Xenopus tropicalis: one gene and its partner. The protein of the gene in region 2 purifies or fractionates together with the protein of the main gene of each other region. This does not show direct contact. Links are inferred from orthologs where the notes say so. Each region holds a gene or a part of one and is shown on either strand. Other genes may lie near its edges.

What was found. Proteins that work in one complex are often made in the same cells at the same time.
Region 1: the proteins of hadha (region 2) and gpc1 purify together in Homo sapiens (co-immunoprecipitation; 3 studies listed by BioGRID and IntAct, with this or other methods). This does not show direct contact. The link is inferred for Xenopus tropicalis from reciprocal best matches to the Homo sapiens genes HADHA and GPC1.

What each region holds. Positions count from the first base shown.
Region 1 is NC_030681.2:127,205,484-127,209,772, forward strand, and holds the start of gpc1 (glypican-1 precursor), read right to left. Parts: upstream 2,801-4,289; 5' UTR 2,328-2,800; coding exon 2,162-2,327; intron 1-2,161. UniProt on the Homo sapiens protein: Cell surface proteoglycan that bears heparan sulfate. Binds, via the heparan sulfate side chains, alpha-4 (V) collagen and participates in Schwann cell myelination.
Region 2 is NC_030681.2:154,397,451-154,401,380, reverse strand, and holds the start of hadha (trifunctional enzyme subunit alpha, mitochondrial), read left to right. Parts: upstream 1-1,130; 5' UTR 1,131-1,137; coding exon 1,138-1,195; intron 1,196-3,930. UniProt on the Homo sapiens protein: Mitochondrial trifunctional enzyme catalyzes the last three of the four reactions of the mitochondrial beta-oxidation pathway.

The sequences.
Region 1 (4,289 bases), about 27 Mb from region 2:
ATATTGATACCATGGGCACGGGCACGCAGGATATGATGCCATCTCTGATACTGTGCACCGCAGCTTATGCACTATTCAACAGCCACCGCTGATTCACTCCCCTATTGCCACATTGTATGCCATTTGCAGTCAGCACTACAGGTGGGTGCAATTACAGTACCCTGGAATTCTGGGTAAAACACTGCATTTTAATTTAAAAAAATAGGGATTTGCACATCAAAATTGATCCTACTAATTCCTTTTCGGCTATGGGCACATAACACTTCTTTTGTGCTCGCATTTTAAACCTGTGCACATTTTGTTTTTCAACCACATCTGCTATTTTACTATCCAGCTAACCTGAACAGCCTGGGGCAAATATGCCTGGGAGAATGGGCCAAAATCCCTCCTGAATAGTGTGCAAAGCTAGTACATTCTAAAGCCTTAATGCTGGCATAGTTGCAGTAGGTGGCTCTATAAAATATGAAATTGTGGAACCCTGTGCCGATGGCAGGCATTAGGCACAAGGGGGAACAGCGAATACTGTGGGCTAAGACATGGTATTTTGCTGCAGTTTTATTCCCTTTGTAAATGAACACTAATATTTGAAAACTAACATTGAGTGCCAGTATTGCACAGTATTTCTTACTCAGTAATGAAATAATTGATGAGGGGTCTAAATACTTTTCCAAAGGAAATGTCTATTATCTCTTCTATAGGAAACACACTGGTGCCGCACAATGTACACAGTACAAAGAGTACAAAGGGTACAGTAAGTAGCAAGAACCCAGAGTACAAAGGATATAACATTCTAATCCACTCCTGCAGGGTGCTACATCTATTGGGCAGTGCCCTAGAACATATTCACACCTGAGCATGGAAGCGCAACAAGCAACATCTGAGCGACAAGATAAAGTTACAGTGCAGGTAGCGGCACTCAGAGATGGTATCAATTACAATACACACACATAGAGATATAGATTTAATATATTGTATGTGAGGAGAGAACGAATAAAAGCACTGAGTCAAACATTTTTCCTAATACTGAGTCCATTTATATGTGTCTATGGAATTTGGCACAAGAGGTATTTGGCTTCCCTGAATACGGTGATGCTTTATTTCCTTAAATAAAAACTGTAGTGCCGTGTTAGCCAGTGTCAAAAATAAGAAGAAAAAACACAAATACAAGAGTATTGTAGAAATGATACCTATATTGGCTAACAATAATACATTGCAAGCTTTCGGAGCTCTGATAACTTGCAATGTATTTTTATTGTTAGCCAATATAGGTATCATTTCTACAATACTCTTGTATGTGTTTTTTTTATTATTATTTCCTTACAAACATACACTGTATAACAGCACTAGCCCCAAATCCTTTTAGGAATAATCTCTTAACAACAGCGGGAAATATAAAGTGTTGATTTAGCTATTAAGGATTGTTGGTTCTGCCAATAAGTCATTTATTTGTGGCCTGCAGAGCTGACAATCCAGGCCACTAGCACCCCAAAAAGCATGTTCAATCCCATAGCAATTTAGTAGCATTTTCAGCATGATCAAGCAATTGTGGATTCTGTGTCCCTAAGGGACATCTGAAACATCAACAATACATAACTAATGCCCAGCAATTCATTTCTTTTGACTCAAGGCACCCCTTTACCATGACACATCCTACTTGCTGGTATTTGCCCATTCAAACTAACTATTATCATTGCTAGATTCCAGCCCCATATGCAACAGCGCTTGCACACACAGCGCTACCCCACCTGCGTGTCTATGGGGGCTTCACTGGAAAGCCAGCACTGCTGAATCACAGGAGCCGGGAGGAAAGAGCATTTAGCCAGGGCTCCCGAGGGGCCCCTTGTGGGGAGAATGGAGATACAAGTAGAATGGACAGATTTAACTGTGTAACAACTGTCTGAGGGGTATTTACAGTATACACACCAGGAATAACACCCCACACTGCAGGAGAGTAGTTCATGTTAGGTATGCAGGCTTCCTTCATGGCCAGGGGCTGCCTTTTCCCCTAGATCTAGCCTGGATATATAAAGCAACTGCCCTGCCTTATAAGATAATCTGAGACTCTACAAGAAGTGACCAGAGATATCTGTTTAGACTCTCAGCTGAAATGCCCTTCTGGGAAGTCCCTGGGTCATGCCCATACTCTAACAGACCAACTCACCTGAGATTTCCGATTGTGGCGCTCCATTCAGGCTGAAGCCCTTAGCCAGGTACACCTGCTTCACCTCACTGCAGCTTTTGGTTTTACTTCCAGTGTCTCCAGCTGCCCAGTGCATAAGGCACAAAATGCCAAGATGCCACCACCAACCCCAGCAGAGCCGCTCCATTACCTTTGTGGATGGGTTGGCGTATGAGCCCAGCAAATACAGAAAGGAGAGTTTTGAAGAAGACACAAGGGTAGAGGAAGCCACATAAACAGTCCAGGAGTCAAGCCAATAACTTACAGCTTATCCTTTGTCCCTTGTGGCACCTCAGAGCAAAGAACAGAGGCACCGGCTAGCACCTCCGCTGAGGGGGGCATTCATATGTCAGGGGGGGCACACAAAAGCCCCTAGATGGAGATGATGCAGCAAAACTGGGGTAGGGCATGCCCAAGGTATGGATCCTTCTGTAGATAATGGGCTTAGACCAAAAGAGAACAAAGCACAAAGCAGGACAATGCAGCAAAGCTGGTACTGGAACTGAATTGGATCCCACCTGCACTGCTGTCAGAGGGTCACTGGGAGCCACTCAGCCGGGCTCAGCCTGGGGCCAGCACTGTCAGGCTTGGGGCAAGCTGGGGCAGCGGGTTGGGTTCGGTTGGGGCAGAGCTGGGTTCGGTGTCGGATCCTTGGGAGCAGTGCGGGCTGAGGGGGCTGAGGGGGCTGCCTGTCAGTGACACGGCAGGGGGTGCAGGCTGATTGCTGCTCCACACAAGCTGCTCATGTCGGCTGGAAGCTGCTGGGTGTTGTCCTTATACCGAGATGCCTGGGGGCACCGCTACCTGCCGGCGGGGAGAGCGACTCGGTGCAACTGCTGACCTTCTAACATTGGGGCTAAACGATCCCTTTGTAATGGATCCGCCTGTCAATACGCTCTGTATCACGCCGCAACACGCATCCCCATCCTGCTGCTCTCAGCCACTCGCACAGATGCTACTATCGCAGGGACCAGTCGCACTGACAGCTTTATTGCATGAAACGTTAGGCAGACAGCATTCCCGGGGCTCCCCCGTGTGACCCCACAGTGCCCGCCTGCTTCTCCTGCTGTCAGGCTTATACCGCTATGGGCAACCGGGATGCTCGCCGAGCGCAGCTCTGTGCCGCCTCCCCCGCTACTCCTGTGCGGACTGACTCCCAGCATGGGCCCGCAGCCAATAGCAGGCACAGACACAGGCTGCGCTCTACTCACACGCTGATTGGCTGCTTGGGACAGACTGAAACGGGGGTGGGGACTGCTGGGGTGTGTGCATTTGTACAAAGGATGAAATATGTGATTAGATAGATTGATAGATGATACATAGATAGATAGATAGATGATAGATAGATAGATAGATAGATAGATAGATAGATGATAGATAGATAGATAGATGATAGATAGATAGATAGATAGATAGATAGATAGATAGATGATAGATAGATAGATAGATAGATAGATAGATAGATAGATGATAGATAGACAGATAGATAGATAGATAGATAGATAGATAGATAGATGATAGATAGATGATAGATAGATAGATAGATAGATAGATGATAGATAGATAGATAGATATATGATAGATAGATAGATAGATAGATAGATAGATAGATAGATGATAGATAGATAGATAGATGATAGATAGATGATAGATGATAGATAGATAGATAGATGATAGATAGATGATAGATAGATAGATAGATAGATGATAGATAGATAGATGATAGATAGATGATAGATGATAGATGATAGATAGATAGATAGATAGATAGATAGATAGATGATAGATAGATAGATGATAGATAGATGATAGATGATAGATAGATAGATAGATAGATGATAGATAGATAGATGATAGATAGATAGATAGATGATAGATGATAGATGATAGATAGATAGATAGATAGATAGATAGATAGATGATAGATAGATAGATAGATAGATAGATGATAGATAGATAGATAGATAGATAGATGATAGATAGATGATAGATAGATTTTAATAATGCAATCTTATTGAATGATTGCCAAGAAATATTAAAGGGCAAGTATAGTTTGAATCTGCAAGCTGTTACATTAATATTAGAGTAGAGGGCTGCTGAAACAAGCCTC
Region 2 (3,930 bases):
AACACTAGAGCTTCCCATACAGACACGGGTTGGGTTTTGCTTTGTACAGAGCTCGTCACATTGCTGGGACACAAATAACATTTAGAATGTAAGCTCCAGGGGGCAGGGACCTCCATCCTCTTGTCTCTTTGATTCTTAACTTATTGCAACTGTATCTTGTATTTATTTGTATTTATTGTTATACTGTGTATTTATCTATTTTAATAACCCCCTGTTGCATTCATTTATTGTTCTACTATACAGTGCTGCAGGGTCAGACTGGGGGGGTGCACTCAGTGTGTATCATTGTGTTACTGTAGCAGTTACTCAGTGTGTATCATTGTGTTACTGTAGCTGTTACTCAGTGTGTATCATTGTGTTACTGTAGCTGTTACTCAGTGTGTATCATTGTGTTACTGTAGCTGTTACTCAGTGTGTATCATTGTGTTACTGTAGCTGTTACTCAGTGTGTATCATTGTGTTACTGTAGCAGTTACTCAGTGTGTATCATTGTGTTACTGTAGCTGTTACTCAGTGTGTATCCCTGTGTTACTGTAGCAGTTACTCAGTGTGTATCATTGTGTTACTGTAGCTGTTACTCAGTGTGTATCCCTGTGTTACTGTAGCAGTTACTCAGTGTGTATCACTGTACTACAGGGTGCGTACCTGTCACTATTATAGTGAGATTGTGTATAGCAGTATAACCTACAGTATATAGTACGTACTTCAGAGAGAGAGAGACGTCCCAGTTCCCCCGGCCATGAGTTGCTATAGCTAAGCCCCAATGCCGCCCCTGTGCCCCCCACACCCGCACTCACCTTACTTTCCCTCAGTCTCCCAGTCGCTCTCAGGACTCCGGCTGCCCCGGCACAACTTCGCTCCCACACAGTCAGGACCCTGTAACCCCGCCCCCTGGGGCTGCCCGCCACACGCCTGAGCGCTCCCAATCTCCCCTCCCACTGCGCACAGTACAAACCGTTACCGAGTGTTTCAGTTTAGTTTATATGCTGTTGATTCCCGAGGGCAGAACTCTCCGGTTTGCGCCCAGGTGTGAGGTATTTCCCCACGGCCAGACAGGCAGTGCCGCGGACAGCTAAAAGCTAGTGAGGAAAAAGTTGCCCGCGGAGGTTGCGCCCTGTCAGTGTCACACCGGACAAGATGGCGGCTGCGCGGCTCGTTGGGGTTCTGGCCAGGCTCGGCGGGGCTAACAGGACAGGTACCCGGGAAAGTCTTATTTATATGGGGGTGCTATATGAAACCTCCAACTTCTGCTCTGTTGAACTGCAGAGTCCCCCCGGCTCGGCTGTCTGCGGTGGCTGATGGGTATTGTAGTTCAACAGGAGTCGGAGGGTACTGGTTTATTACATGTGGTGTTAGAGGGGGTGTGCAAGCTGGGCACAGAGGCTAATATAGGGCAGGGGGTAGTGGGGAGACAGGGCCCAGGCTGGTGTGAAGGAGAAATAATAAGCACAGAGATAGGGCAGGAGTCTGGCATTCATTTGCCTTATGGGTAATAATGCACACTGACTGACACAGTGCAAAAGTGCAGCCATTGCCACAGCAACCAGACATTGTCTTGAGCAAAAAGGCACCTGTAGCAACCAGATATTGTCTTGAGCAAAGATACGGCCGTAGCAACCAGATATTGTCTTGAGCAAAGATACAGCCGTAGCAACCAGATATTGTCTTGAGCAAAGATACAGCCGTAGCAACCAGACATTGTCTTGAGCAAAAAGGCACCTGTAGCAACCAGATATTGTCTTGAACAAAGATACAGCCGTAGCAACCAGACATTGTCTTGAGCAAAAAGGCACCTGTAGCAACCAGATATTGTCTTGAGCAAAGATACAGCCGTAGCAACCAGATATTGGCAGGTACAAGTTTGATAAAATGTAGTCAGATTGGTCGCTTTATCCAAATTGGGCCAGTGGGTATTTATTGGCAAGGTCGGCTCCTAATCTGCGCTGATTGGCTAGCCACATGCTTTGGCCTAATTAACACCACTCAAACTAATTAGCCTTTAATGACAATCCCCAGATTAACTTGCAGGGGGCCCTTGTGCACTTACGCTGGGGGGGCAATCCCCATTTATCCATTGAAAGGTGGAACCATTTTGGAAGCATTTAAAGGGGAAGCTGTCACTCACACCTGTTATAAATGTATTTACAAATCTGAGCTGTCAATCATATATTGCCTGCCCCGCCTCTATGCCTGCGGCATAGAGGCGGGGCAGGCAATATATGACTGACAGCTCAGATTTTTAATTACAATTACTTTCACTTCCCATTCAGCACTTCCTAGATATCCCCCAGATGGCAAATACATAAGATTTTGGGGGGACACAAAGCTTTGCCTTAATAACAGGGTACCCAAAATGGCGCCGGCCTGCTGGCTGTGACTGTAAATTCCAAGACTGAAGGGGGGGAAAAAAATAATTTTTAAAGTGTAAGTAAAGTTTATTTTGCTCATCTAACCTGATAGAAAAGGATTTGGAATAATTTTTAGGGTTACGGGTCCCCTTTAAATATAAAGCGTATTGAGAAGAGCCCATCTGGGCAATGTTAGGGCGCCCCAATTTATAATATACTCATTTATTCATTGAGGATTGTTCCTCTCTCATTGGTGCAACACTAAAGTGACGGGCAGGCACTCACACTGGGGACCTCTGGGTTCAGAGAGAGGCGATGTCCTTAAACAACCCTTGTTAAATTCCCCCGCTGATGCCTCGAGCTATAGAATAACCCAGCTGCTGTGTGTATGGCTAAATGGGAGTGGATAAAGCACAGGCAAATGGGAAATGATCAACTCCATTGCTTTATCCCACTGGTGTGACCTTGGGACTGGCACAGGCCCCCGATAATGAGTTGGGAAACACCTCAAACAGAATTTTCTAGTGAAGTTTCTCATTTCAATTTGGTAAAGGTATTTTTAAAAGTAGATAATGTTTGGGCTGAGCAATATCCGGCATGGATGTGGCCCTTTATCTCATGTTTAAGGGGTGCTGGGAGTTGCAGTTCAGCAACATCTTGGGATACAAGGTTAAGAAACAGTGGAATCCATATTGTTTGTTAATTGCACAAGTTACTGTCCGTTCATTGGCTGCTGTAACCCAGTGTCACAGTACCGGGCCCAATTGGGTTTTATCTGTTCAGAACAAAATGTCTCCCTCCTTCAGAACCTGATCATTGAATGCACAGTCTCCCTCTGCACCCTATTTATTGCTTTATTTGCACCCTTGCCTGTGTACCTGGGGGTGGGTACATATAGATGGTGTTTGCAGGTTTAATTGGAGTAATTGGCTGCCCACCCAGGCTCCCCTGCTGTACAGCTGAGAGACCCCCCCACACACACACCCCCAGCCTGACCACATTCCTTTAGAGACACAACAGACGGCACCGAGACTGCAGCCATTTCTATTGAATACCGTGACCTCTGTCCCACATACACGGGCAAGGTGACCCACACGGGGCAAAGCCAAGTCCCTTCTGTGTGATACATACAGAGCAGCCCCCCCCACTGAGTAATATGTGCCTAGGGCAGCCTCATTGCCCCTGGGGTACATGCACTCTCATACTAAAGATCCCCCCCCCCCGGGGGCCAGGTATTAATGTGAAGCCTGGAAAGCTGTGATTGGAATACAAATGCTCTGTATAATGATATGGCCAAACTCTTGTCCTATTAGTCAGGGCTTTCCAGTTTGAGCTCCACAGGCCTACAGTATATCTGCCCCCCCCCCCCCCAGCCATCCTAAAGACATCAGTAACCCCCCCCCCCCCCCATATACTTATATTGGGCAGTGCAGTGTGTATAAAGCTTGTGGGTTCTTCTCCTTCAGCCTCCATGCAAGTGTGCTGTATTAAAGGGGAAGTTATCTAGATGCAGGTTGCAGATTCCATGAGTTAGTAGGGGGGGTGAGATTCCCCATTGCATGTGTATCTGTTTAGTACGGTG